Linked DNA regions of Lepisosteus oculatus. The protein of the gene in region 1 purifies or fractionates together with the protein of each later gene. This does not show direct contact. Links are inferred from orthologs where the notes say so. Each region holds a gene or a part of one and is shown in the gene's direction. Other genes may lie near its edges.

The links.
Region 2: the proteins of upf1 (region 1) and casc3 purify together in Homo sapiens (co-immunoprecipitation; 5 studies listed by BioGRID and IntAct, with this or other methods). This does not show direct contact. The link is inferred for Lepisosteus oculatus from reciprocal best matches to the Homo sapiens genes UPF1 and CASC3.
Region 3: the proteins of upf1 (region 1) and rbm8a purify together in Homo sapiens (co-immunoprecipitation; 7 studies listed by BioGRID and IntAct, with this or other methods). This does not show direct contact. The link is inferred for Lepisosteus oculatus from reciprocal best matches to the Homo sapiens genes UPF1 and RBM8A.
Region 4: the proteins of upf1 (region 1) and xrn1 purify together in Homo sapiens (affinity purification with western blotting; 4 studies listed by BioGRID and IntAct, with this or other methods). This does not show direct contact. The link is inferred for Lepisosteus oculatus from reciprocal best matches to the Homo sapiens genes UPF1 and XRN1.

Annotation. Positions count from the first base shown.
Region 1 is NC_090724.1:3,883,635-3,891,338, forward strand, and holds the start of upf1 (regulator of nonsense transcripts 1), read left to right. Parts: upstream 1-4,692; 5' UTR 4,693-4,942; coding exon 4,943-5,113; intron 5,114-6,631; coding exon 6,632-6,774; intron 6,775-7,151; coding exon 7,152-7,241; intron 7,242-7,696; coding exon 7,697-7,704. UniProt on the Homo sapiens protein: RNA-dependent helicase required for nonsense-mediated decay (NMD) of aberrant mRNAs containing premature stop codons and modulates the expression level of normal mRNAs.
Region 2 is NC_090723.1:9,611,395-9,618,991, forward strand, and holds the start of casc3 (protein CASC3), read left to right. Parts: upstream 1-4,579; 5' UTR 4,580-4,593; coding exon 4,594-4,890; intron 4,891-7,586; coding exon 7,587-7,597. UniProt on the Homo sapiens protein: Required for pre-mRNA splicing as component of the spliceosome. Core component of the splicing-dependent multiprotein exon junction complex (EJC) deposited at splice junctions on mRNAs.
Region 3 is NC_090722.1:2,288,680-2,295,892, forward strand, and holds the start of rbm8a (RNA-binding protein 8A), read left to right. Parts: upstream 1-4,203; 5' UTR 4,204-4,242; coding exon 4,243-4,309; intron 4,310-5,454; coding exon 5,455-5,514; intron 5,515-7,213.
Region 4 is NC_090708.1:15,747,969-15,755,187, forward strand, and holds the start of xrn1 (5'-3' exoribonuclease 1), read left to right. Parts: upstream 1-4,215; 5' UTR 4,216-4,521; coding exon 4,522-4,596; intron 4,597-5,261; coding exon 5,262-5,494; intron 5,495-5,596; coding exon 5,597-5,694; intron 5,695-5,803; coding exon 5,804-5,913; intron 5,914-6,045; coding exon 6,046-6,156; intron 6,157-6,521; coding exon 6,522-6,607; intron 6,608-6,695; coding exon 6,696-6,783; intron 6,784-7,219. Other genes in the region: serine/threonine-protein kinase ATR, read left to right, coding at 1-141, 1,001-1,157, 1,256-1,409, 2,035-2,186, 2,287-2,392, 2,609-2,782. UniProt on the Homo sapiens protein: Major 5'-3' exoribonuclease involved in mRNA decay. Required for the 5'-3'-processing of the G4 tetraplex-containing DNA and RNA substrates. The kinetic of hydrolysis is faster for G4 RNA tetraplex than for G4 DNA tetraplex and monomeric RNA tetraplex.

The DNA of each region.
Region 1 (7,704 bases):
AAAATTTCAGATTCTTAATTTGACCATGGAGAGCAACTGTTGTGATGCATCTGAAGACTGTGATATTGACTGTGCTGTTAATACCTTAAACTAGCTTGAACTGTGCTGTCTTCATTGTTGAGCCAAGGTCTTGCACTTGCATCTTTGTGGATGATTACACTTAATTTATAGCTCCCCCTTGTGGAATTGTACCTTTATTGCGGCGATAGTCTATCATAAACCCCTTATACTAGAAAACTTCTGAACATTTCGTTTTCAATGGCATCAAATCATTAATCGGTCAGCTGGATTTTGTATATTTGATATTGTTTCCATCAATGTTCTTTTGAAAGCCTGTCCACCTTTTCTGAGCAGGATTGCAATCATGAAAATCCAAGCTTGCAAGACACTATTTCTTCCTTGGATACAAACGTGGCCATCAAAATGAACTGCTGCCGCAGTTTACAGACATTTTGAATTCCGGATTGTATGAATACAAGCTTTATGCACTGTGCGTCACTTATAAATTAGTCCATTATAGCAGCTCTACATTTCGGCAATAGTATTGTCTAAAGAAAATGTGGATTTGGGGTGACTGGCATCAATCAGGATTAAGACCACTGGTCTGTGATAGGTATTGTCACTTCATTTTAAATTAAAGTTCATTTTGATTGGCTCTTGATTGCATGCAGAAACCATGCCTGTCACACACCCGATCCCTACTTTTAGCTTCTCATCAATAAACAAGGAAATTCAGCCAAATGAAATCTTGTGACCTGTACACCTGCTCTTTGCTCTTGAAGATGGTTTAGTATTTGTAGAACTGGATCTGTATTAGCAGTGCATTACGGTAATGACTTATTTTATTCGGATGGAAACAAGTCACTTGTGAGACGAACTGTCCCATGGTGAAAATTTTCCTTTTTTCTTTTTCCGTTCATCCTTGACCGCAAACTCCATTTCTGCCACTGTGTAATTACCAAGATCTTAAAAAGAGCCTAGCAGAAGCAGTTTCTAGAATTGCAGATGATGCAGAAAGAGTAGTGGGTTTGTAAAGGAGAACCATGTTGATCAGAGAATGAGGGAGTGACTGGAGGAGGGGGGTGTGGTTGTGGAAGGAAGGTTGTCACTGCCTGTGTGTTCTGTGGTGAGAGTTGCCTCTTCCTACAGGATGGTGTAAAAAGACAAATAGTTAAACTGCCTTGGGTGTAAAGAAAAAATGCCTACTTTACGTGATGAAGAACTTGGTGTCATGGGACCCCGAGTGTCAATTAAGCATGCATCAGTAAAGGATGTCTCTTGTTAACAGTGCCTTTTTAAACCAAAACATAATCTGGGGTGTTGGAAAGGGCTGTCCATGCTACTTAACACCAGTGTTACCTTAGTCAAAATCTGAGTGTCCTCAACATCAGGCCCAATTAAAAGCTCTTTCCAGTATATACTGTACCTACCTCTGTCATAATGCTCCCTTCTTTGAAATGATTTTTTTTGTGTGCTCTATATTTTAATGTGGCATCTAGATTTATATCCAATTCCACTGTAAGGAAGTATATTTTTCCCATTATTTGGTATCGGACTTTTAAGCCGAATCTTGTCTTTGTAAGTGACATCAAAATAGAAAATATGACAAAACTGGGCATGTTGGGCCCCTGTAGTGAAGAAAAATTAATAAACTCTTTATTCTCCAGTCTCTTTGCTTTGTCTTGTGCTGTTCCAAACCTGCTTCAGTATGTTACCCCCACTGTTTCTGAAAAATGTAACCCTGTCAACCATAAAACTGGGTAAATCTAAGGGACGTTACATTTAATTCATTATAGTATTTACAATTGCCAAGTCTCTTGACACTTTCAAAATATATTGTACTTGTAAGACAATTTATGTATAAATCACAGCCACATTAGCAGTCACCTAGAAGTTCAAATCCTTAATAAATACAATAATCCCTTGGGACTGACTGCTGAGAAAGTGTTTACACCAAAAGTTTTAATCAAATGCAGGATGGAAGCTACAAATTGGACATATAAAATGCATTGCTTTCATACTGGGGGACACGACCTAATCAAGCACACACTTGGGTGACGTGGTACCTATTCTGCACCAGCAGCCCCACTGCACATTAGATCAGGTAGACATGGAAAGTTGAATCCACTAAGCACAATTTAGAGATGACAATAGAATTTAGTACATTAGTTTAAACATCTACTTGCAAACAGTGGCATGGGATGTTTTCATGACTCAATAGTCAGGACCTCAGTTTCAGGTCTAAAGGACAAGCTCTTCCAGTCTCAAACATCTGTGATAGCGATTGGTAGACAAGGAAACGGGATGTGAATCTGACCACCTACAGCACTATAAAATAAGGTTGGGTGTTCTTGTGGTCCTTGTTAAAATCCAGCAAAGTGGACCTAACAGCTCTGAGTTACAAAGGTGGAACAGGTCACCAAAAAACCTTTGAATCTGTACGGAGACCCGCGACGGCATGTTGGTGAGCACCGATCTATAAAAAGATCGGTGTGTGAGCTGGAGAGTTAAATTGAATGATGTGGCACAAACCTATGATTTGCCAGAGAAAGAATGAAAGACAAAGACCCAGGCCGTAGGAGCGAGCGTTCTTGGGTGTAAAACCATTGGCCGCAGAAGGTCAGAGGTCTGGGTAGAGAAGCTGGAAGATTACAACCTTGTTGATTTATCTACATTACAAAACCATGCTTTAGCAGGAGTTTGGGTAAACAAGTTATGTAAGCCTCAGGAAGCTTGTGTTCTGTGGCTGTTGTGCGGAGGCAGTCATCTCTCCGAGAGACCCTGGGGGTGTGAGCCAGATCAACCACATCTACGGCAGCTGCGGCGAATACAGACGAAGATTTTCCACATCCCCATGAAGGAGTTACCTTCCTCATAGCTACTCTTGTCCTGCAGACTTCACTTGTCTAACTCGGCTCTCCTGTCTGTCCCCCAGGCCTGTCTACACTCTATGGGTGACGGGGCCTTCTCCTGCTCCGCCCCAGAGCTCTGGAACTCCATCCCTAAGGATATCAGAGTCACCTTGCTTGGGGGTCTTTTACATCTAGACTCAAGCCCTTCTTTTTAAAAAGGGTTTTGACTTAACTGGTGTCTGCCCCCTTGCTTTCCTACTGTATTCCATCCCCCCTTCCACTATCTCCTCTCCAACTGTATTGTTTTGTTGTTGGTTCTGTGAAGAACTTGTGGACGAGACACTTTTAAAAGTGTCTATATAAAAATAGTTTATTTGACTTGTATGCTCCAATCAGCGTGCTGCTGCTCTATGTAAGTGCTCTGTCAACGTCTCTTTCTCCCCATGCTCGCGGCTATTTCCTTCTTGCACTTTCCTGGAACTCAAAAAGAAAATCCCAACAAAGGTGAAATCCAGTGATGGCCTATTAGTTAAGTTTGCGGGAAACGTGTGGAGTTACAGCTATAGGCCACAGGACTGTGAAATGAGCACATTTAGCAAATGTGGAAAATGCATCTGAGACCATTGCTGTATGTGCAGCTAGCTGTAAAGACTGTTTCTAGGTGTTTCCATGAAAAACAAAATTTCTATTTTAATAATGAGACGTTCTCTAAACCTGCGTCGACGAACGTAGTTGCTAAGCGACCACTGTTTTTTTGCATTAAATAGCAAGTTATTTCCAAACATTCTACCTAAAGTTATTATTAGACCTAGATTCGATTACTTTGTTGAGCTGGTGCTTTAACGCAGGGCGGTTTGCTTTCCAAGCAGCCAATGAACTGGTCAAAAATGGAGTTTTCTGAGTGGTACAAACTAATTTAACGATCAGACTTTATTACAATCACAAGAAAAGCCATAGAAATATAATTACAATTGTAGAGTGTACTGTAAGTACGTTGTACATTAACTGAAGAAAAGTGAAAATAACAAAACTCGTTTCTGGGAAGATATTCAGACAGTGCTGTACCGTCTGAAAGTGGTGTTTGATGATCCGATAGCAGAGCCAACCTCGTGCTGGCGCTCAAATACTGTTGGTGGAACCCAGTCATTAAATACTGCGTTTTTTAATGCAATAAAATTGTTAAATCTGATTTAATGCTCAGCACAATTATTGGACGTACCGTATCGTGTTGCACTGTCTTGCAACAACCGAGTCTATTAAATCGTTTATCACAAATTCGGTAGTTTTGTTCAAGGGTATGAACGTCCATATAACCCCTTAAATTTATGAGCAATGGATGACGTGATCGTACACAGTGTATGCCACATTAACGAAAAAAGACCAGTCTTTGCATTTATATTGCCTTTAGACAGGATATCTTTAATACGAAATCTCCCTTTTAACGCTCCACACGGAGTAGCACAGTTTAGTAATACTCCGAGACATGTTTACCTGAAACAATATTAGGTAGTCCAAGATTAGTGGTATTAGAGGTCTGTGAAACCACTGCTTGTGATTGAGCAAAGAGCCATAAGACGGTTTTCCAGTAAAAGTATAGTCCCATTGCAGCTATACGGTCAGCTAAAGTCTCAAGTTCGGTATTTTCCTTCGGTGTTTTCCTTACATTTCAAGATCAAAATAAATCAAAATAAAAAAAGGCTTCGACGGTTGTGTATAACTTGAAAAATACGACATTTCCAAAGTTTACATCACGTTTAAGGATAGCGCCCCTTGACACACACACACCACAGTACTGCAGACGTCATCGGTCTTGGTGCAGCTTTGTGCGCATGACGTTGCGCTTCTCTGTGTAGTTGGGTATTTCGTCACGGGTTGGTGTGGGAGTTGGGAGCTCTCTCGAGCTGTGTGTGTTACTGTTTAATTTTCTGGTTCGGTTCGATTTCCGTTTACTTTCAAAGCCAGCGCGCCGCCGGGACGACACGCGTTGAGTACTGGAGAAAAACAGAGAAATAAAACTCGCCGGGGCCGGACTTTCCTGCGGTTTTTTCTTTCCCCACCTCCTTGTAAATCCGCCGGTGCTCTGAGGAGAAATGAGCGTGGAGGCGTACGGGCCGAGCTCACAGACTCTAACCTTCCTGGACACGGAGGAAGCCGAGCTGCTGGGAGCCGATACCCAGGGCTCGGAGTTCGAGTTTACCGACTTCACGCTGCCCAGCCAGACCCAAACGCAAGGACAGACCCAGAGTCAGCTGGACAACCAGGTTCGTGTGCCCGTCACACCATTACAGCTCACATTTTCGCCGAGCAGACCTCCGGCGTGCTGTTACAAAGCTACCCAGCTGAGGTAAAAGTGAAGTAGGCCCGCGTTACTTGCAGAGTCCGGGGACGTTTCCTGACTTGAGTAGCCGGCGTCGAGGAGCCGTTCCGTAGCCGCGGGCTCTCGGTTCGCTCGCTGGAGGTCTCCTTTTTTTTCCGATGGGGGAGAAACCGGTGAGCTGCCACCTTCCCGTCGGAGCACGAAAAACGCGGATTTGGCGAGAGTTTGGGTCGGGCCCGTAGTCTTTACCTGCTTCGTGTCCTCGGCGAGTGAAATTCCTCTGCCCTAGGTACTCGTGTCAGCCGGCAGCATCGCTGAAACTATTCCTACCGCAGCCCGGCAACATTTTTACGAGGAAAATTGAGCCCGAACTGACGTAGCGCGCAGTAAATTCAAAGAAATGGACCTTCACGCCGAAAAGTTGCGTGTGTCGGGTCTGTCTTTTTTGTATCAATGCCGTGTAGTCTAAGGGAGACCAACCCGGAAAAGAGGGGTTTTCGTCGGCGTGAAATCGCTCAGCATTTGTTGGGAGAAATCGCCACCTTGCCTTCACCCGGCCAGCGTGGCGAAGTTCTTAGTAGTTTTTTTTTTAAAGTTCGCCCTTTTTGCACCAAAAACGTGTCACTGAAACTTGCCGTGACGGGTTGATGTGAAACTGATAGTTTGGGAGGAGGTTACGCTAAGGGATAAAATGGTGCTGCACTTCACGGCCTGTCATTTCTACAGTTTTCTCCCCCCCCAGCAAGCGATTAATATCCGATATTAGCGGACAGGTTTGTGTCGTGTTGTGTGCGATCGCGCCCTTTTTATTTCTGTGAAGGTTGTGATGTCCCTTTTATTTCCTGTTGAATTGACCTGAAAGTGAATTCCCAGCAGCTATGACTGACAGAGTTAAGCTGTTTGAACTTGGGCTTTTCGGCAATTTGAATCTGGTTTGTTGGGTTGGCAGCCGTTAAAGAACACCAATTAATCGGGATAAAAAGCTGCTAAAAACTGAAGTATTTGCTGGGGCAGATTCGCCCGCTTTGTTATTAAACTTTCTTGTTTTCCTTGTTTCACATGGTGCCTTACTTGTCAGAATTGATCTTGGGAACAGATTTTATTAACTGATCTCAGATTGGGAGGACCGTACATCCTATATTTTTTTCTTCTAAAATTCCCTTTTTGCAACGTATTGAATGCAGTGTTTAATTTATTGCACTGTATTTTATTGATTGGACTAGTGATGTTAAGGGGATTGGGAGTGAACTTGTAATATATTTATAAAATGTGAGAAAACAGTACTAAAGGAGTATTTTACTTTATGTATGATTTCTGGTTAGGTTAGGGTTGGTCACCTGAAAGCCTTATAATTCTTTTTCATTTCGTAGTCTGTACTGCTTTTCCCAAAGTGTCGTCTTTATTGTCCATTTTTAAAGTCAGATTGCAAGAAACGCTGTTCTCCAACTTGTATGTCTTATAGGTGAATGGCCCTGATGGAGTTTTGCAGAATGGAGCTGTGGATGATGCTGTAGCAAAAACCAGCCAGCTGCTTGCTGAACTGAACTTTGAGGAAGATGAAGAGGACACCTATTACACCAAGGACCTCCCAGCCCACGCCTGCAGGTACAGGACACCAGGGGGATTTGGACTGGGCATGCTTTGCGGTTAATGCCTACTGGTGTCTGTGCAGTTGTTTGTTTTTTATTTGAATATCTTCGTTTCATTATTTTTGAAAAATGTTAAATATGCATGTTTTCTAAAATACTGTTTCTTTTGACTTCTTGTTGGGGATGGTGGTTATGTTGGGTGATTGTGTTGAATTGTAATGCAACACTTATTTCCCCTCGGGGATGAGAGAGTTTGAGAGCCTCTAGTACCGTTTTTCTTCAATACCTCCTACTGCTATGTTTGTTTTGTTGCTACTTGGTGTGTTTTGACAGCGCATGTTGCAGTAGGTGAGAAAACAAAATGTGCTTATCTTGTTAATTTCTATTTTCAAGCTACTGTGGAATTCATGATCCAGCATGTGTGGTCTACTGCAACACCAGTAAGAAATGGTTCTGTAATGGACGTGGGAATACCTCTGGCAGGTGTGTGCAACAGTTAGAAATGAAGTAGTACAGAAAAACAGCATTATTCCTGTTTCAGATTCCCTTTTCATGTTACATTTTAACCTAGTAATATTTTAATGTGAAGGATAAAGTTGGACTATTGTTGTAAATTGCTGAAGAAAGTTTTATTCTTTTGATATAACACAATATACATGTTTTATGGTAGCTGAAATGAAGATGTTCATTTAATTGTGTATAACAGCTGATTCTTGTAGATTGTTTTACTCAAAAATACTCATCAATTATGGTGAGAACAGGATTATAAGAAGATTAAATGTAACAGTGTTCAATTACACTACCAAGTCAGATTCTCTTCTTTTTGAAAGAAAGATATTAAGCTTGCATTTTGAATCTCTTATTCTATTGGTTTGTGTAGCAGTTTCCTGAAGTACAGTTGTTTCAGTAACAGCTGCTGTGCATCTTTTCTTTTTCAGCCACATTG
Region 2 (7,597 bases), on another chromosome or scaffold:
GATCCCTGGTCACTAGTTTTTGGAGAGGAGCCCTGCTGATTCCCCTGTGCCTGGTTGGCACACAATCTCCTACAGTTCCCTGCGTCTGAGCATCTGAAGTGCAGTGTTCAGTGAAATATTACCCACCCAAGCCTATTAAGGGACTAGAAATAATAGTACTTATAGAATGTTGAATCGTACTTGAGCCATGTGCTGTTTGTTTCCCAGATACAGTTCTAACTGCATGGCCCTGGAATTCCAGAGATATGATCTTCCTGCCCCTTACCATGCTCCAGCTTTTAATGACTTGGTTTAATTGGTCTGGATCAGTCCTTAGCTGTTGAATTTGGGGTTTAAAACTAAATTCCAGACTGGATTACACAGTGGGTTTCTTAATTGGAGAAATGCAGTGCTTTTCACTGGGCCTATAAATCTCTATAGGGACTGTGCTTAGAATGAATTGGATGTCTTAAGGCTGTGTGACAAGAGTTCAGCAAAGAGGTGCTGGTATTTCATCCCCCGAGGAAGTTGAGCTGATTGTGAAAGGAGGGTTTTCATTTGAACTGTGACAGGAGCTCAGTCTGACACGATGCACGCAGCTGCCTGATTGGCTGATGGTGTCGTAATGCGCCTGGATGGCTGTGGTTCTCCTGGCTGCCGTGACACTAGGGGGCAGCAGCGCTGTCGCCCCGTTTCCTCTGTTCGAGTGTCGGCTATCCTGAGTCTCAGAACAGCTCCCTTCAAAGCCTGGGGGGACGGGACCGTCTTGTACACCCCCAGACCTACCGGGCAAAACCTGTGGGTTTATCTGCGTTTCTCTATGCACAATTAAGCCCCCCGGAAAAGACATCCTATCCAAATGGGTTGAATTAAGTAACTGGCGTCGGAGGTGGAATGAATACCAGGGGTCCCACTGCAGCTGGTGCCTGGACCTCCCGGGTGAACCTGGATGAACAGGCTGGCCCACCCTTTCCGAGGCTCATCGGCGTCCTCTCTTGACCAGGAGAAGGTAAAAACGTTTCGAGCTCAGCAAAGTCTTGGGGAGCTGTAGCCCGTTTGATTTGAGCTTCAAGTGGCTTCATTTGAAGGAGCTGCCATGTTTCCCCATTTCTCTGTTCACTGGAAATATAGGAATTTCCTAAGGCATTGGGATGGTGGTGGTCCAGCACTGGATCTCGCGGTTCAGGACCCCGGAGGTCCTTGTGTCCTCGCTGTCCCAAGCCCCCGCCGGTGTCCAGTGGGAGTTCCTCGGAGCGCTGCCCCTTGTTTCAAGCGCAGGAGTGGTGCTTTACCCTGATTGTTGAAAAGCATAAGAGACGCATGCTGTAAAAATAAACTGTACAAAGAGGAAAACTAGTCTAAAAGTGGGTTCATATAGCTGTTCCTCTGTCCCTCTGGAGGAGGGGAGAGGGGGTTTGCTCTGTTTTCCCTCTTTAAATGTTCATCTTCTGCATGTTCCTCAGTTGGAGGTATTTTAATCCCTTTGCTGTTTTTGTTAAAATTTTGGGGATTGTATTTCTTACCCTTTTTATTGTTAGTTTTACGTCCTGTCAGGTTCTGTGTAAAGATGCTCTTACAGCTGAGCTCTGTCCGCCTGGTCAGCTGGCCCTCGCGTCCAGTGCCCACAACCTGCCCACCCCTTGAGCTCCTTGCTTGTTAAACACTTGCAGTACAGAGCCAGGATCTGTGTGCTGTACATTGTGTGGGGTTGCACGTTTCCAGCAGCATTTGCTGTTAGTGAGGAGCACGACTGTGTCGATCTCTTATTTCGAGCTGGAATACCCTAGCTGTACATGATGAAAAACTTCTGCCCCCCTGGCCTCTCAGGTTAAGATTCCAGAGTCAGCTCCTCACATCCCTGACGCCTGTGTGATCCCAAGGCTACCTGGTCAGGTGATGACTGGTTTTCTTCAGGAATGCCGGAATACAAACAGAAATGCAAGACGAGACGCTGTCGGTGCTGCAGGGGGGCTGCGTCGCTTGCAGGGGTGTCCAGCTGACCGGCAGCGAGGTCAGAGGTCAGTGGGGTCCGTTTTGTTTTGGGCGGTTTGTGCCCTGTGTTTTTTTTCCCCGCTTCTTCTTCGCCTGCAGAATTGATCGCATCTCGCCAGTCCCCTCTGTGCTGGTCGTGCACGTTCAGGCGCAACACAACAAAAATGAGAGTATTTCTTTCAGCCTCGCCTCTGTCTTTCACCCCGTTTTTGTGTTGATGTTGGAATTCTGCTCTTCCCAGTTGTTGATCTCATGCCGTCCTCTCCCAGCCAGTTCCAAGGGTAAGCCTCATGGTGGGCCCCCGTGTGGAGCGGCTGGTCAAGGCACTTGTCTGAGCACGGGTTCGAGCCTGGGTCATGTCACTGACCCCCTGCTGAGGGTGGTGGTGGGGGCAGTTAGAACTCTCGCAGTGCTTGACAACACAGCGCCCCCTGTGGCCTCCTGGGCTCCCTGCAGGCAGGAGGAGGCATCAGGGAGGGGCGCTCCCCTCCTGTTGGGCCCTGGGCTACTGGTAGTGACTGGGCAAAAGGTGTAAAAAAAAAAATCTGATGGCCTCTTCCACTTTGGGAAGGAGTAACGAAAATAAGTGACGATTTACTATTAAAAAGCAAGCCTGCCATAGAATAGAACAAGGACCGTGATCAGCCTGTGCTTCAGACCTTGTTTGGAATGGGTTACGGAGGCTGGGATGTCGACCGGTTCCCTCGGCTCCTCGTGCGAGTTCCACGGCGCTGAGAAACCTGCCAGTCTCAGCCCTGTGTCGAGGCAGCCGTGATCAGAAGGCCCCGAGACGCGCGTCTCTTTCTCTCTGTGGTCGTCCCCGCTTCCTGTTGCGTCTCTGTCCTCTTCTGGTTCCGTTTCTCCTCCCCAGCGGGAGACGACAAAATCCCAAACTGTATATTTGACCGCCTCTGTACATAGCTTTCAGAAACACACACAAGGTGTAAATAAGCACGACGTGGCTGTTATTTTTATTTAAAGTTCAACTTCACTCTTGAGTGTTAACGTTCAGTATTGGTATTCTAAAAAAAAAAACATGCTTCAGTGTGAAAAAGTTGACAAAGTGGAATTGTTTTTCAATAAAATTCACAAACTCGAGTGAATGCCATGTTTTATTTGGAGGGGATGGGATATTTATGCTTTGCCTTCTCCCTCTCGGAGTTAGTAAAGGAACGGGCCACTGGTTGCACTGCATTTATTTTTGGTGTTTCTAAGAAATGGGACCTGGTTTCCCCCCAAATCGCCGTGAGATTCAGCTCTTTTGGTAGGAATCTTACACGTGTAACAGTGTGTTATAGAACAAGTAGAGGATAATTCCGCCCTTAAAAATGCAGTGTTTCGGGTGTGTCCTGTCAGGAGTCAGGCAACAGGATTAGGATATAGAGTGAAATCTGTACATGTCAAGTCTAGGCAAGTAAAAGCTCTTGGTAACACTTCATCTGGAATATGCTTATGTGTAAATAAAATGAAGACTGATAAAGCACATACTGCAGGTTTGCAAAGAGACTGTTCCACCCATCTAATGTTATTTGTTGGTAGCTAATTAAACTGAGGACCAAAGTCCAGCCATTTCTCAAAATAAAACAATGGGGCGTGCAGCTTGTTTCCTGCTTCTGCCACCCTTCATGTACAGAAGCCTCCTTATAAGTCGTCCAAGAGGGACTGCTTCAGGACCAGCAGTGAGAAAAGGACCCGAGGCCACAAGTGACAAAATGAAGGCAGTAGTGAATTGAGGATTGAAAACGGGAAGCCTGTCCTGTGTTAACAGGAAATAGTATAAATGATTCAGCAAATGGGGAAGGAGACATCCTGCTTTATTGATGCCATGCAGCCTTTCATCTCTTATTTTATGGATGGGTTTTTTTCCAGCATGAAAACTTTACACCTAAACTCAACAATCTGCACCTGATCGCGAGTTTCCGGAAAACCCTCGCGATTCCTGCGCAGAGCTCAGCAGTACCTAGTTCTTCCACCAGGTGGCAGGCGCCTACCGAAGTGGGGTCGAAGTGCTTCAGGCGCTTCTACCAGGTTATTGACCTGTTGACGTTTCTCATTGATCACTGTTGTTCATCTCTTCGAAAGACAAAGTCGAAGAACGCAGCCTGGTACATAAGTACCTTTTTAGTCGCAATAATCCCTCGAATTAATTAGAGAGACCGCGGTAGAGCCTCCTTGCTTTTGAAAGCACATCAACACGAGATTTCGAAGTCAGTACCCTGGGGGTTTGAAACTGGGCTCAGGTAAAATGACTACACCTTACTAACTGGAAAATGAAATCAACTTCATGCGAGAGATGTTTTTAAAAGATGAAATATGTTTCGGCAGCACAGCTGGGCAACTTGTTCTAGACTCACACAACTCTTTGTGTAAATTATATAACCAGCTGTAGGGGTTCTGTCGCGTAGTTTATTTTTTTTGTCATTTAGTTCGTGTTGCACTGCTGACTTTGAAGTACTCCACGTGGTGAACTAGTCAACGGTTTAAAAAAAAACCCCTATCATTTACTGCAAATCCGAAATAATTTAATACCCGACGGACAATCTGTAGTAGCAAACACTGCTTCAGTAAGTATTGCCTACACTTCCCATAAAGAGCTTTCGCGAGTCATGGCCGTGAGGGTTCATGGGAATTGTAGTGTTCCCGATGGCTTCGTTGCGCCTCCTCACGTGTGCTTGGCCTACGTTTCCCATAAGCCCTCGGGAGGCGCAAGTTTTCCCCTGTTCATTTCCCAAGATGGCGGACAGGCGGCGGCGGCGGAAGCGCGCGTCCCAGGACACCGAGGAAGAGGACGAGTCCGGTTCTGGCACCGAGAGCGGGAATTCGGGTCCAGCTGGAGGAAAGCCCCGGGCGAGGGCTCCCGAACCTGCGGTGCTGCCCAGCGTCCGGGTGCGGAAGAAGAGTGAGGACGAGTCGGAGTGTGTGAGTCTCTCGTCGCCGAACCCCCACCCCCCCCAACGCTTCTCGGCTTTGAGCTGGGGAGTTAAAAATGGGCTTCATCTGCTCGGCTCCTCTCAGGCCGCACGGCCTCGGGCTAGCGCTGCAGCAGCGCCCAGGAGGGAGGCCGTGGAGCCGCGGGTCCCTGCGGGGAGCCGGGCGGTCGGTGCGGGTTACACCGGGGCCGGGCGTTGAGCCCCACGGTCCGGCAGCTCCATACCGCTTGAGCAGCGGACGGTAGCCCCTGCCGACTGGAGGAAGCTACCAGCTGGATGCTGAGAGCAGATCGGAACCTCTCCCTTGTTGGTGGTCTGGGCTGGTGTGGGGAAAGGCAGGGGCGTGAATTCACCGTCCACTCGGTGCCCACGGACACGCGTCCTCTCCGCCCGGCCGCCCCGGAGCGCTTGTGGGGTTTGTACTCCAAGGGGTAGTGATGGGCTGTCTGGAGCAGATCGGATCCTCTGGAGCACAGAGCTCAAGGCCTGTGAATTTACAATCGCTTGACCAGGATTGTTTTATTTTCAGTTTCTTTTTGCCTATGGCACCCAGTTTCGTGAGCACGGGAGGTGCCGATGGGCTCCTCTATGTGAGCGGGGTCCTCAGAGCTGCTCTGCTGGGTGCCTAGTCTCCATACCTGAGCCACACGGGGCCAGAGCCCTTCTCTTCCCCCCAGTCTCCCTGGGCAGGAGAGAGCACGGGATCCCCCCACCGCCGACAGGACGCCAGTCCAGGGCAGGGGTCACCCCCAGCAGTGCTGCTCCCCACTTCACCAGCTGCTGGGGTACGACACCCCGCTCGGAGTACAACAGCAGCGTCTGCAGTGGAGACTCGAATCCCCAGGAGCTCAGACTGCTGCCCTCCGTGTCACACCTCCTGTGTCACAGCTGGCCGATGGCGGGGTCTCAAACGCAGTGGCCTGTTGACATCTGAAAACAGCGGGGTTGTGCAGAGACCTGCGCTTTATACACTGGTACCCCAAGTGCTCTTGGGTTCGTAAGTCTCTTAGCTTGACTCACAGAATCTTAAGACCCAAGAAATGCTTGATTCGTGAAAACATTTAACGCTAACGTTAAGCTGCTCTTAAGTCAGTGTTGAGATTCCAGAGTCCCTGACAGCCTGCAGGAGAGAGAGTTTTGGGGTCCAGGGGTGGGGATCACTAGCGGTGCTTTATTTCCACACCCTGCTAACGCACAGCAGCTCAGACGGGTTCTCGCCCCCCCCCCAGATCGAGCTTTAACAGCCGACGGTCGGGTTCTGCTGTGGCCCCTTTGCCCTCCTCCCTGCGTCCGAGCCTTCTGGCCCAGGAAACGTCTCCCCGGCACCAAGCTGGGGCTGCGGGAAAGAAACGCTAACCCATCGAGACCCTGTGGGCGGCGAGGTGGCTTGTGGCGTGCGAGTTACTGGCGTTGCTGGCGGCGTGTGTGATGTCCTGCGCCCCAGCAGAGATTTGAGAGTTGGGGAGCCCCAGTGAATCATCAAGTCTCCGAGTGTGTATGGTGCGATGCAAGTTGGGGGTCTTTCACCCCCCTTTTTTGCCGTCTGTTTCCATGAGTGGAATGTGCTGTGATGCCCCGGGTGTATATTGGGGGGCGGGGTCCGACCTGTTTCCCACATGTGCTGTCTGAGGTTGAGAGACGTGTTCTTCTAGGGCAAACCTTTCCCTAAAAATCCTAGGAAGCCTTTCTTTAGTTTCTTTCCTGGGAACGGTGGGCAGCTCCTGTACAGACTTCCTGGAAAATGGCGCTACTGGTGCTGTAGGCAGGGGCTACAGTCTGTGTGTCTGCTCAGCATGGTCGTTGCCTGAGCTCACACGTGTCCTGAATCTGTCACTATCAAGCTCTCACTGAGGGAGGAATGTGAAACTGAGGGAGGAATGTGAAACTGCTGTGCTTGAGTAACGTAAACAGCCTTTTCTGTTTCTAGTAGAATATTTTATCTTAAACAATACTGCCTTTCTGAAAATCTGGTAGAATAAATATTCAACAAACTTACCTGAAGAGAAATCATGAATATAGAGTGTTTTAAGCACACTAGTGCTATAGGAACAAATGGAACTGTGTTTTTTTTTTTAAGCTCATGTGCTTGACTCACAGTGATTTACGAAGTGTGTATCAAGAAAGAACAAGTAAAAATCATGAACACGTTTTTGAAATTCTTTTTGAAATAAGTCTGCTTTCTAGGGATCCTGGAAAATGTAGGAAGTGGTAACTCATTCCAAGGCATGGCATGGGTGTTGGAAAAGGAATTGTAGAATGTACACTGGGAAGGAAAATCCCTTCAGCTTTCTAATGGGGTTTATATGAACTGAATATCCAAGGATAATGTTTACTACAGGACTCCACTGTTGGATGGCCTAGTGTCCTTTTTTGTTCCAACCTGAGTAGTTAACCTTTCTTTTGGGTTTTTTCCTCAAACTATTGACTTCATTAAAAGATAGTTATTTATTAAACACGCCAGAGTCTGGGTTAGAAGTGTCACAATTATGAAATCAAATATTGGACCAGGTCTGTAACTGTGAGAAAATGAGCTGGGGTTCCCTTGCTAGAAAACTGTTAATTGCGGTTTAGCACTTACATTGCACTGCTGCTCTTATTATTACATCATTGAAAATAACGTGAGTCGGTTTTCTTGCGATAAGGTTTCCAACTAACACTTGTTTTTCTTCTCTCATCGTAATGCAGGAAAGCGAAGA
Region 3 (7,213 bases), on another chromosome or scaffold:
AGAAAATCCAAAATGCTTCCCCTTCTAAACGAGCAGTATTGGCAGGAAATTTCTCAGCCTGATCAAGATCGACGAATCGCCTGACGTGTGGGGGAACTGCACTGCTCGAGTGGCTGGTGTGTACAGGTCATCAGGTGACGCCCACCGGACACCTGAGTTAGTGGCCGCAACCTTGGTTTCAGTGCAGTGCAGACTCATCACCTGGCCGGCAAGTGCACACCTTTTTCTGAGGTTACAGTGATTTAGATTCTGTTAGGAGGGCGTTATTAGCTCTCTGATTAACGCTGTGGTGCTCAATATCTAAATAGGTGGGGAAGAGATCTCCTCTGATTCGTCTGCATCAGAGGGTGGATCAATTTTGCCATGCCTGTACAGCCTGTGCTGCAGAAGGTTAGAGGGGTAGTCTGTCTGCTTTTAATTCAGCCCTTCTGGGTAATATTCCCGTCCTGGGTTCTCAAGAAGATCTACAGTATGTGTCTGTCATAGGTCCTCTCTTTGATAACTAGAGATAACTAGGACTGTCTGCGTTACTGTTAATGTTACATTACTTCAGTGCATATGTGTTGTGTTGTTTTCCTGTGCTGTACTGGAGGAAGGCTTAGCTGCTCACCACAGAGCTAGGTTACCGGTGTGGGTGTGGGCTTGTTCTGCCTTTTTAAATTGTCTGAAAGGGGATTGCTTTGGCTTCTGCTGGCAGCCCAAGGGAGGGGCCTTTTGAGAACCCTAATCAATTGTTTCTATTTCTGTTCTGATTGTCTCACAAGTGTTAGACTGTGTACAAGACCAGAACATTCTCTCTTATGGTATGGCATGCCTTTCAACGAGTCTCCAGCTTATTTTAAATACTCAAATTCTAATGTAATTTTCTTGCCTGTGAAGGGTTTAAATTCTTGATCCGTACAGCTTGTTCAGCAAAACATTAAATGTATTTACTGTTGATAAGAGCGAGGGCCTGCACACACAAAGAAGGCTTGTTTTAAGAATCCCAAAGAATTGTTTTTGTGTAGAAGGCCAATTGTAACTACCTGCTTTTAGAAAACACTGATATAGCTCAGTTACGTAGACATCTTATGATTAAAGTAGAATTTTGCTTAACCAATAGAAATTAAGACTGAAGTTTTTTTTTTCTTGTTGAGACTTAAGCTCTTTGTCTTCCTTATCAAGTAAGTGTACAAAAGGTCAGCTGTACCTTTTCTTGTTAAACTCATCCTCCTACTGTAATTGCAGGGAGGGTGCTTCTCTTCAGCTGAATACACAGTAAACTCCTCTTCTGCTTGAGGAAAAGGTTTCCAGTGGATTTGTACTCTACACCTGGAATTAACATGGTTTGAACAGTCCTTATAAACGTTAGTGGTCACAATATTTGTCGTGCAGAAATGAAGCAGATATTGCCATGATACATTAATTCCACCTGAGGCATTAGATTTAGCTAATTCATAAAAATTGTTAATAAACCATGAGATTCACAAATTCTGTTATGTTGTGTAGTGTCAAAAAAATGACAAAGTTCAGGTGCCTGTGAAGCAGAAGTCTCTTTATTCATATGCATTTGGAAGTCTGGCTTGCAACCACCAGACTTAAAAAATAAGTAGCTGAAGATGGTCCTTTATACCTTAAAACAAAAAGAGTTACTATGACACATTCTAAACAAATGATGAAAAAGCAACACCTGCCAATTAATTATATCTAAGTTGCAGACTAGACAACAGTTAGTTCTTTTCATATTATGGGCGTACAGCCATCTTACCAAATACATGCCCCTTATCTTACTGACCAAGGACAGGCAGCATCTTTATATACATTTGAGCACAAAGCCTACGTCAAGCCACTAAACTGCATAGTTTGCAAAAAACATACAAAAACACAAAAATGATATGAATTATCTCACTTCCCGGGCATCTCTCTTATCTCTTCATTCTTCAGTTGTAACTCTCAGTTTACGGTTCTAGACGAGGGGGTTGATGAGGAAGAGGTGCATTTTTGAAAACTACTATCTTTAATAAAAAAAATCTTGTTTGCTTCGGTTTATACTACACTTTACTATTTGTCCCATAATACTCTATGTATTTACCAAAACTGTAAATCTATAGATCTAAGATTACATTACAGATACAGTAGATCTCAGATTAGATAACAACCTAATTATTGGCACCAACATGAACACTGTTGTAAAATCTGCTCTTGATATGCAGTGCAGACAGCTGGGAACTGAGTTCACAAAATCTACACGCTACATCCTCTGCTTTCATCTGATCTACAGTAGTTGAGCTTGACAGTTGATAAATACTTACCACCTCTGCCAGAAATGTTATGTTTAACCCTACATAGGTCTTTCTCTAGGACTGATGTTTGATCATATTCATATCTCTGTTCTCTCAACTGAAGGATGTTAGTAATCATCTAACATCATAATGCAGTAACCACACTTTTTTGCCAACATCCCAACAGAACAGAAAATGCTACTTCACCAATACTCAGTTGCAGAATTAAGCATTTCATCATCCACTTCAATCCAAAATGTATTGATTCCTTACTTTAATAGTGCATTTTACAGGGTGTGATAAAGGTTTTATTAGAAAGACTAACACTTTGTCCAACTCCAATCATAATAAATCCATATTGAGCAAAATTAAAGACTTAGAAACTATTTAAGCTTTCCTTGAGCACTCTAGAAAAGGCACTTTCTTTCTGAGGAAGTATGGAACGCCAGCTGGAAATTACAGAAAGACCACGATGGCTTAATCAGCCAGGATGCGGTTTCTTGTTCAAAGAGCTAAATAGCAGTATTAGATTTTATCATTCAAAATCTTGAAGCTTTAAGGCAATGCAATAATTGAAATCTCAAACACAAATTTCACTGTGAATTCTGTTCTTTTTAACCAGTTAGTTTAAAGTCTTAAGCTGGTCTCTCAGAAAGTTACTTTAGAACATTATTTAGTAAATACAGTAACTGCAATGTCAGGACTTGTTGGCTTCTGCCACACAAATCCTGTATCCCAGCACATTCGTCTCTTCCAGAACTGATCACTGCAGTGCTCTGCTCGCTGGGCCTCCTGCTCCCCATCTCGCAACCTTCATCCGTCTGGCTCTGGTCTGCTCAAACTTGTTGAAACTGGGGGTGACAGGCCTTCTCCTGCTGCGCCCCAGAGCTCTGGAGCTCTATACCCAAGGATACCAGAGTCACATTCTCTGCATTCTGCATTTCAGTTAAAAATCCTTGATTTGCCAGCAGCCATATCACCCTGCAACTCACAACTGGCAGCCCACTGAAGCTAAGCAGGTGTGAGCCTGCTCAGTACCTGGATGGGAGACCTCCTGGGAAAAACTAAGGTTGCTGCTGGAAGAGGTGTTAGTGGGGCCAGCAGGGGGCGCTCACCCTGTAGTCCACGTGGGTCCTAATGCCCCAGTATAGTGATGGGGACACTATACTGTAAACAGGTGCCGTCCTTCGGATGAGACGTAAAACCGAGGTCCTGACTCTCTGTGGTCATTAAAAATCCCAGGGCGTTTCTCGAAAAGAGTAGGGGTGTAACCCCGGCGTCCTGGCCAAATTTCCCATTGGCCTTAACCAATCATGGCCTCCTAATAATCCCCATCTATGAATTGGCTTCATCACTCTCTGCTCTCCTCCCCACTAATAGCTGATGTGTGGTGAGCGTTCTGGCGCACTATGGCTGCCGTCGCATCATCCAGGTGGGGCTGCACACTGGTGGTGGTGGATGGGAGACCCCATTACCTGTAAAGCGCTTTGAGTGGAGTGTCCAGAAAAGCGCTATATAAGTGTAAGTGTAAGCAATTATTATTATTATTATTATTAAGTTTTGCCAATTTTGTCACGTCTTCTCCTTGTAAACTTTTTTTTTACTGTAAAGTTCTTTGGGAAGTTAATTTTAAAGGTGCCATGTAATTAAGGTTTTTATTATTATTATTATTATTATTATTATTAAACCCTTGTGTGAGAAAAGGCAAAAATGATCCTTTTAAATTACTTTTAAGTTGGTATTTTTTAATTTCATAACTTATATGCGTGATAAAACATTTTTAATCTTCACTTATAAAAATAAACACATTTAAACCAACGGCACACCGTCTTTTGTTCCGTCGACGTTTGACCTCACGCGTGGGGTTAACAGACCTCCTCAAAATGGCCGCAGACTCGCCTCTCCGCGATTTCTTCCGTTGGCGGTTAAAGAAGGTGACGCGTTTCCGGTCTCGCACGTCTTTCCACACACGGCAGAGAAGATGGCGGACGTCCTGGACTTACATGAAGCTGGCGGCGAGGATTTTCCTATGGATGAGGATGGTGATGGTAAAATTTAATATACCTTTCCGCGGACCACAGAGTAGTTTAAAATAAGAGCAGTCGGTTCGTCTTTTTTTCTTAGGTATAGCCCGCTGTAAACGTTATTTTTCGGCAAAAGATAGTTCAGCAGTGTACAAATGAGCCACACTGTTTGTCTGGATCTGGTTTGGTTTGAATGTAATTTTGTAGTTATTCGCTTATGGGTGACCGGGGGTGCAACTATATTTATTAACGGCCCTTATAATCATTTTTGTTCGCGGTTTTGCTGTATCTCTGCCCTCCCTTATTTCCTACACACGCAGTGTAATTTTCGCTGTCGGCTTGTAGGGCGGTCTATAAGCTCTGCTTGGGTTCTGTGGAGGTGCTGAGGTTCAGCCATTGCGGCTGTTAAAATATTTACCTTTGCTCATCGTCCAGAGCGGAATACGCTTGCCAGGCCGCAGGGAGGCGGGCGTGGGAGCCGCAGGGGAGGCCCGGGTTTGACTCGGGCCTGGGCGCCATCGGGGTGCAGGGTCTTGTTTAACAGGGTCTGCCATCTGGGGTCCGACTCGGACCCCGTCTTTCCCACACGGTTCACCCACAGTCCTCTGATCAAACTGGATTCCATTAACGATGCAGAATTGCTGATGCCGCGGGGGGAGAGGGGGGTGGGGATTGCTGTAACCACGATCAATACAGCCGATCGGCGTCGTGAAGAAGGGTTAACGATGAGGGGATCACTTGTTCTGTGTTGTTCCAGAGAATAACTGTCCGAGAATGTAACGTTGGCTATTTGGTATAGAATTAAATTATATAGAATAAAATCATCTGCTTTTTAGTTGAACCAGTTGTGTGCATGGTATGCTATGATAGCACTGTTGCTGTTGTCTTTGTCCATGTCAGTTTACAATCAGAGAAGCTTAAAAAGATACAGTCTTGAATGGGCAAAGTGTGTCATTCCCAATTAGATCAAATAAATCATAGCATATCAGAATCGACAATGACCATATCAAATTCAACAGTAGCACAATGGGAACACACTTTGTGCTAGCCTCAAAAAGTAACATTTTGTCAATGAATGGAGAGCAAAAAGACATCTTCTGTTTTGACCTCTTTATAGATGTGTTCAACGCGGGAAAAACTAATGCCCACTGTACTGTCTTCTTTTTCAGAAAGCATCCATAAGTTAAAGGAAAAGGCAAAGAAGAGAAAAGGCAGAGGGTTCGGATCAGGTGAGTCCGTGTTGTGGAAGCATGTTGGCAGCTGTACAGATGGATTTCTAGGCTGAGCTGGAAATGAGAGCTTCTGGCTGTTTTGTCATTGGTGATTAAATGAGTAACCTGGAGAAGTTACTTTTAAAGGTGCTGTATAACAAAGTAGGGCTGGGCGATATGGCCAAAAACATTATCTCAATCAAAATTTTCATATCAGTCGATATAGATAATTATCACGATGAATCTCAAATAATTATTTCTTTCAAGTTTAAAGGCAGATTTTTTCTCCTGAGTGAAAGTTGAAGGAACAGTTAATTGGAAAATTAAACGACTCTTTATTTTATGAACACAACAAACACTTGCCAAACAGCAGAAACATTAAACAGATGAATAGAGAGTATTCAAGTCTTTTTTATGTAAAAATATACATGAGTAAAATGTACAAAATAAATATCTTAATAGAAAAATTAAATACTGCAGTGTGATAAAACACACATAGAAGATGGTTCAGACAGACTGCAAAGTTTAAAGTGCTCTGTTTTATGTCTGATCGTAAAAAGCCAAAAAATCTCCAAATTACTGAAGTTGAATGACCTTTTCTGTCGACGATGTCATCGTCCTTCGAGCTGGTCATTAGCAGCACTACATTTGCTTCAGTGTCGCTCATTTCTCCACTCTAACTACAATCCTGTCAGCCACCACCGTGTGGATAAACAGCACGTTAGCAGCCCGGTCTGCAACACGCATGCGCAAAGCATAAACATATATATCGAACATTTATCAAACTTTTGTTAAAATTATATCGAGGAAAATTATATCGCGATAATTATCGTTATCGAGTTATCGCCCAGCCCTATAACAAAGTTCATTATTATCAGGGGAAAATGTTGATGTGGAAAATAAATATGTTCTTGAACTTTAAGTTCACTATTAGCCAGTGAAATACAGCCTGGAATTTTGTTTTTCATGATTTTCCAATGGAATACAATCTTGAGGTGTCCACCTTGACCATTGCTACTAGATCTCTAGGTCTTAACAGGCTTATTGAGGAGCTAAAGAGAACAAGAAAACCCGGAGGGCCTGGGACATGTAGGACCGGACTGGAGCCTCCTTCTTGTTTGATCACACGGCTCCAGCACATTGAAGCATGTTTAGCAACAATCCCAGCTCCTAATGAAGGTGTACAGGAATGATTGTATTTGGAGCACCCGTTTTGCAGGAAAAGCTGGTGGTTGTGGCAGTCGATCTGACAAGCAATTCAGCTCTCTTGTAGATATTCAGATTCATATATTTTTGTACAATTGTAGATCTAAATTAAGACCTCTAAAAAAGAGACCTTTACAAATTTGATGTGCCAATTGCTTCTTTTTATAAAAGTGTATTGCCAAGATGGATGGTGATTATGTTGCCATACTGCATTAAATACATGGAAAATAAAGATTACAACTGCTAAATGCCTGTTTTCAGCAAGTCGGGTGCATTACTAACATAAGTTTAATTGTTTTACTAGTTTTCTATCAAAATGACTGCTCATTAGGCTTTTTTAATTACTGAAGTACAGTCTTTATCTATTCTTCAAGCATATGGAGTGTAGGAGCGATAAACTGAGTCCTGTATCATGCTTTTCCATCTTGCTAGGAATTTTTTCTCACTGCATTAATTGTAGTTAATTAATTAATTGTACACTAGCCTAATGTAATGATTTGATGTCCCGACT
Region 4 (7,219 bases), on another chromosome or scaffold:
AAGATGCAGAGTCCAGGAGGAGAGAGCTGCACATCAGGACCTATGCTGTCATCCCCTTGAACGAGGAATGTGGGATTATTGAGTGGGTGAACAATACAGCAGGGCTGAGGCACATCCTCAACAAATTGTACAAAGAAAAAGGTGCATGTCATTCATTTCTAAACTGTTGCAATTTGAAATTTGAATCATATGAAAAGCTGTTGTTTGCTGAAGAAGTCAGTATTCATAAGAAGGCAGTAAATATACAGTACACCTACAAATAAAGTAGTTGTTATTTGTGGATGTACACAAACTTAAATTAAATTCACTAAAGTTTATTCACTAATTGTCTATTAGTGGTATTAAACAAGGACAAAAACAAGCGCAAAAAGTCTAAATCAAAAGGCATTAGTGAGGACGTGCTCAGTCATGTGTTATTTCAGAAGTAATGCAAATCAAAAGTGATGCTTAAATTTAGATTGTGGAAACTGACACATACTGTAAGTGATTTAAAATAAATGTAGACTATAATTGTGCCAATTCATGGAATACACTTATAATTTCAGAAGTCAGTTTGCATCAAAAACCTGTACATAACACTGTGATGTTTGTTTATATGATTAGATCTGTGTAACATAACACTATTTTAAAAAGTCATGCTATTACATGGTGCATGGTTAGATGGTTGCATATTTACATTGTTATATAGTTAGATGGGACTAAATGGGAAGAGAAAATATTTGATTCTGAAGCTAGAATTGAAAAAAAGGCATTTGGGTGTATCAGGAAAATTATCTCATTTTAAACATTTTTAAAGGGGAAATTCTGAAATATGTATTGAGAAGAGAAACTAATGAGTAAACCACCATTGACATTTAGACTTGAAAATCTTTATGGTCTTCATATTATGACATACTGTATTTTGCAGTTTATTAGTACCCATGTGAATGATGATAGACTTTCACCTTAACTTATTTTCTTCTTTCTCACTTAAATATTTTAATGATCTGCTTTTCCTCAGGCATTTACTTAAGTGGAAAGGAGTTACGCAAGTACATGTTGCCAAAATCTGCCCCCTTTATGGAAAAATTGAAACTGCACAAAAATGTTCTCGTTCCCCGACACCCTCCAGTCTTTTATGAGTGGTTCCTTAGAACGTTCCCTGATCCTACTTCATGGTTTGTACCATTCCATCTGTTTAAATTGTTCAAACAATTTGAGGGAAACCGTATCACTTTAATGTAACGCAAGTTCCTGGAACGGTGTCTCGTTACAGGTACAGCAGTAGATCTGCATATTGCCGCTCCATTGCTGTGATGTCAATGGTGGGCTACATCCTGGGACTTGGGGATCGACATGGAGAAAACATCCTGTTTGACTCTTTAACAGGAGAATGTGTGCATGTGGACTTCAACTGTCTCTTTAATAAGGTGTGTGCGCATATTACCTCAGGTGTGTTTTTATCATATACCCACCCAATCTGGCACCTGCCTTGTAAGACTTGGCTCATGACTTCAACCTCTGAATGCTGCACAGACAAAAATAAGGGAATTGCTTTTAAAATGGAGTGGATACGCTAGACATCTGCAACAAACTACCCAGATGGGCTGTCAAAGATAGTACCGAAGTTTCTTTCACCAAAACATCCTCAAACCCCCTAGTGATAGAAAACCAACCTAGCTATATGGTCTCCCCTCATTTGTGAAGTATGTTCCAATTGGAATTCTGTTACAATCAAGTGGTGACACCTGAGCCATATTCCTCTATTCTTAAATCCTTCAAAGGCCTTAAAGACAAACTTTTGTCCTTTGCATAGGTTTGTTATAAAGGTTTTTAAGGTGTTATTAAGCCCAGTTTCTTTCAGCAAATATATTTCAGGGAATAATTTATATTCTTTGTTTCAATCTGATTTACTGCTAATGTTGCTTGTCCTTATTGGGAGGTTGGGAACCCCTATACAATAAGGAAAAAAGGAATGACATCAATGAATAACCGTGTTTTAGGTGCTCATTTTGTGCATGCAGGGAATTTTGAGCCTTTTCTTTTCCGTGATAGGGTGAAACATTTGAAGTCCCAGAAGTAGTGCCTTTCCGACTGACACAGAATATGGTTCACGCCATGGGCCCCATGGGAACTGAGGGTCTGTTCCGCCAAGCCTGTGAGGTCACCCTCCGACTAATGCGGGATCAGAGGGAGCCGTTAATGAGGTAGGAACCTCCTCCCTCTGTGGGTTTACACACATTGAGTAATCTCCATTCATGAAGTACAGTGTTTGAACTTTGTGCTCGTTTCTTTCCAACTTCTTAGTGTCTTGAAGACCTTCCTTCATGATCCGTTGGTGGAGTGGAGTAAACCTGTTAAGGGAGGTACAAAAGCCCACGTCAATGAATCCGGAGAAATCCTTAATGAAAAGGTATGCCGTTTCACAGACAACTGTGATGTGATGTTGTATTCTGAATTCCTGTTTCAAGCCAGGGTGAATGAATTTGACAGGTGTCAAACGCAATCACTGAATTGTCTATTGTATTTCCTGTACACAGCAATACCTGAACTTTCTCTGACAGAATTGTCGAGTGGTAGCATCTTGGAAATACCTGCACTGTTGACATTTGCTCTTTGTTTTCTGTAGGCGAAGACCCATGTCCTTGATATAGAGCAGAGGCTGCAGGGGGTTATCAAGAACAGGAACAAGGTGATGGGTTTGCCTCTATCCATTGAAGGCCATGTTCACTACCTCATCGATGAAGCCACAAATGAGAAACTGCTTTGTCTCATGTACCTGGGCTGGGCTCCCTACCTGTGACCATGTTTGGTGTCTCAAATAAGCACTTATTATTCAGGGCAAATTCATTCCTCACTTTCTTTTATTAAAAACATTTATGTTTCTACTGGCGTGTTCATTTCTTTGCGGTGTTCAAATCTGTTTGGAAATTATTGACATTATTTCTGTTATGTAAATTCACGTGTTACATTATAACCACAATAATAAAAGAGTTCTATAAAAATTTTCAAAGCACCTCCCTTAATTTCAGATCTGATTTCTTAACTAAGATCTTTAGCTCTTTCTTTTGAAGTATTGTCTGGGTTTGAGACATACTGTAGCTCAGAGAGACATTGAAAAATCTCAACAAGTTGTAAACACTGTCTTGGATTCTTGTGGTGAACTTCTTGAGAGATGTACATGTTTAAAAAATCTTTTAGCAGAAAAGTAACATTATCTTTTGATTTTATTTACTGAAAACCTGTTCTTTTTTAAATTAGTGTAATCTAGTGCTCCACACAAATTACCAAAACTTTCTTATAACAATAGTCCCTCCAAAGCCTTCCTGAATGAATTTCCCCCTCATCACTTTTTGAAGGACTTCATGAAATATCCCGTATCTCCTGGATAAGTTCTGTTATTATACAGACACGACGTTTGACTAAGTGCAGTTTAATTCTGGCCTTCTTATTCCAGTTATGTAACAGATTTTCTATTCTCCAGTGAAGGTCGAAAAATGAAATACTACAAAGGCATCTTAAATGTTTATCTCAAAATGCATTTCTAAGATGTTACTATTGTTACTATAATTTTAATTTAACAGGAACATTCTCTAAAAAATCATTCAACTGACATCCGCGTTCCTTTAACAGAAACACTAAAACGTTACCATTCAACTGACATCCACTTTGTTGAACATGGCAAAACTTCAATCACGAAAAATACAGTTAATAAATCGCTAATCACTCGGCATCGTTGTGTTGAACTGGTGCGGGCAAAATACTAGCCCAATTGGTCAAAGTATGTGTAATAAAGTTCACTTTCAGTAAACCGAACAGTATCACACAGTCTTTTTGACGAGATGGCGAGGTTGAGCCGTCTTTTCCGGAATAGTGCAGGTGTTGCCCTTTGTCATTCTAACACCCGAATTCTAAGGGGTTCTAGATTTTATCCTCTGTTGAATGCCTTACTTTACCCCATCGTCTGACACGCATCAGCAGTTTTATTTGTCCTAATGTGGACAATCCTAGCCACTGTATTGTCGTCTGCGGTTTTAAGGACTGTTAATCCACCGTGTTTGATTAAATATGACCTTAATATTTATTTTATTTAGCACTGGTTTTATTACTTTTATTTATTATTCCTCCGCCGCCGCAGATTTAACAATCTCACAACGGCAGTAATTGACAGTTTTAAAGTCCATAGGAACCTTTACTGTGAGTCGAAGCAGTCCGGGACTGATTATTTGTCGGACAAATAATAAGAAAGGGAAACAATTTAACGTTTGAACAAAAAGCTCTTGCTTTATTTAATCTTGGCGAAAGATTAGGAAAAAAATGAAATTTCGTTACAAGTCTTTTAGTGGAAATTGATGAATTGTTATTTTAGCATTGTACTGTATCCATATCAGTCTTACGTCACAGCAATTTCGAATTGACCGTCCGCACTTCCCCGCTGGCATAGAAGCAAAAATAAAAACTGGCCTCCGTAGGAATATAAACTTTTACTGCAACACTGCAATTCATTTTTTTTTAATCTCTCGGGACGAGGTTGTGGTAAGGATGGGTGTACCGAAATTTTACCGATGGATTTCGGAGAGATACCCTTGTTTGAGTGAAGTTGTTAAGGAACATCAGGTAAGAATATATAGGCCTTACGAGTTACACCATACAACCCTTCCTTCTGATTCTGATTTAATTGCATAGCTCTGTCTGTTTATTTTTTCTATAAAATAATTGAGCTTCAGTATGAGTTTTCATTTTCTGTTTAGTTTAGACCGCATAAATGACTGTTGTCATTAAGAAGCAATTGTTTTTTAAAGTTGTTTTATGAGCGGAAACATCTGCAATTGAATACAGTAGATACAATAAATATAAGACATTTTGGTTTTAGTATCTCCCTGACAACAGCAGTTTTACTTGATTTGTAAAAACATGCTCAATATGTAATTTTGTCCTGTTGCTGCGAACAGAACCAGTAATAATCCTCATAGTTGCATTTGTAGTCAATACATCTAAACGATATTCTTATCTCTTTCTCTCGTTACAGAGGTCGCCTTTTCTATGTATTTATTATTTTTAGCTTCTATCCAGGGCGGCTAACACGTTGGTTTATTTTGCTTTGGGAAATATTGTAAATTAGTTTTTATATTTAAAGCTTCATTTAAGAGCGCACTCTCGTAGACTTTACAGCCGAAACAGCGACATTGTTGCAGTTCACTTTGAGGCGCAGGCGACCGACTTAATGTTGCTTTATTGCCCGGTAGAGGCTAAAGGCAGTCTGTTTCTGTCCCTTGCTTCAGATTCCTGAATTTGACAACCTGTACTTGGACATGAATGGCATTATTCATCAGTGCTCCCACCCCAATGATGAAGACGTGCACTTCCGAATCTCAGAAGAGAAAATATTTGCCGACATTTTTCACTATCTGGAAGTGCTGTTTCGTATCATTAAGCCGAGAAAGGTCTTCTTCATGGCCGTGGATGGAGTGGCTCCTCGCGCAAAAATGAACCAACAGCGCGGAAGGCGCTTTAGGTAACAACACGGTTTGTTTCGTGTACCACGGATTCAAAGGTAGTCTGTCTGGGAGGTTGATACTTTATGGGCAGTGTTTTTATTTTTTTGTTTTATTTGAAGGTCAGCAAAAGAAGCTGAAGATAAAATTAAGAAGGCCCTAGAGAAAGGAGAAGTTCTTCCTACAGAGGCTAGATTTGACTCCAACTGCATTACTCCAGGTAGCTACTACACAGCTGGGGCTATGTTGACACCTCGCTCATCTTTTGCCTTGTTTTCTGACATGTTTGTACTGTACCCCTCAAATGCCTTTTCTCTTTTTTTTTTTAGGAACAGAATTTATGGCCAGACTCCAGGAGCAGCTGGAGTATTTTGTGCATAACAAAATATCCACAGAAAAATCATGGCAGAGGGTGCGAGTTTACCTCTCCGGTCATGAGGTATATAATTAAATAGAGAAACAGAGTAATTCGATACGTGATGTGATTTATGTTCCGGTGTACCTCTGCAGTCTCGAGAGTTTTCCATGCTAGGTATTATGATCACAAATCTGCTATTTATTTACTGTACAGACCCCTGGAGAAGGAGAACACAAAATCATGGAATTCATTCGGTCAGAAAATGCCAGGCCAGACCATGACCCCAATACCAGGCACTGTCTTTATGGTTTGGATGCTGATCTGGTATGTATTTTTTAGTTTGAAAAATGCATGCATTTTCATTTGATTGTACATGACTTTTAAGCATTTAAAGGTGTTGCCTTTAAAAAAAATTGAACTACGGGATTGAACAACTTTCGTTATAAAAGTGCTTATTAAATAATTTTAGGATGCTAATAAAACTATCATGAGTACCTTTAGTTGTCACTAAACCTCCCTCATTAACAGACTGAGATTGTAGTATAAGGTCTTCCCAAAATGTAAACCTAAGAGCTGTTATGAAATGTCAGAGCAAAATAATTATAAATGTTTCCAGTAGAATTAAAGTAACTTTTTCTTACCTGCTGGCTAAATATTTATACCATTTTCTTTTTCCTTCTTCCATGTAGATAATGCTTGGGTTGACAAGCCATGAACCTCACTTCTCTCTTTTGAGAGAAGAAGTTCGTTTTGGTGGTAAAAAGTCACAGAAAAGGCAAGTGCATAAGTCAGTGCCATTTAATATTTGAATTTCATGTTGCTCCTTCTCTTTTTGACACTTATGCGTGTTTTGTTTTATATAGAATAAGTACACCTGAAGAGACAACATTTCACTTGTTGCACTTGTCCCTGATGAGAGAGTACATCGACTATGAATTTTCAGAGCTGCGGGTAAGTAATAATAAACTCATTATTTTCACCTTGGAAATATACACAGTATATTATTTTAAAATATTGGTTGCTCGTTGTGATGCATTTCCATAGCATATTTAGAAGAGCTTCATTTATTTTTTTTATTTGAAACTGGAATTGCAAAAGTTTATTTAAGGATATCTTTGACAGCAGTCTTGCCACTCTGTATTCTGGTCTCATAAGTATGGAGGGTAAACAAGGCAGGGTCTAAATCCATCCATTTGGCCAGAATATTCCAAACCAGTTTACAATTATATTGATCAGTTGTCCTTTTGATGAGACGTTAAACCAAAGTCCTGGCTACTTTAAATAAAATCCCATGGCACTGTTCACAGGGGTGAGTCGTTTACTCCAGTCTGGCCTACCTGAAGGCCTCCATTTAATTTAACTGGTGAAGTAATTTCTTAATTCCTCA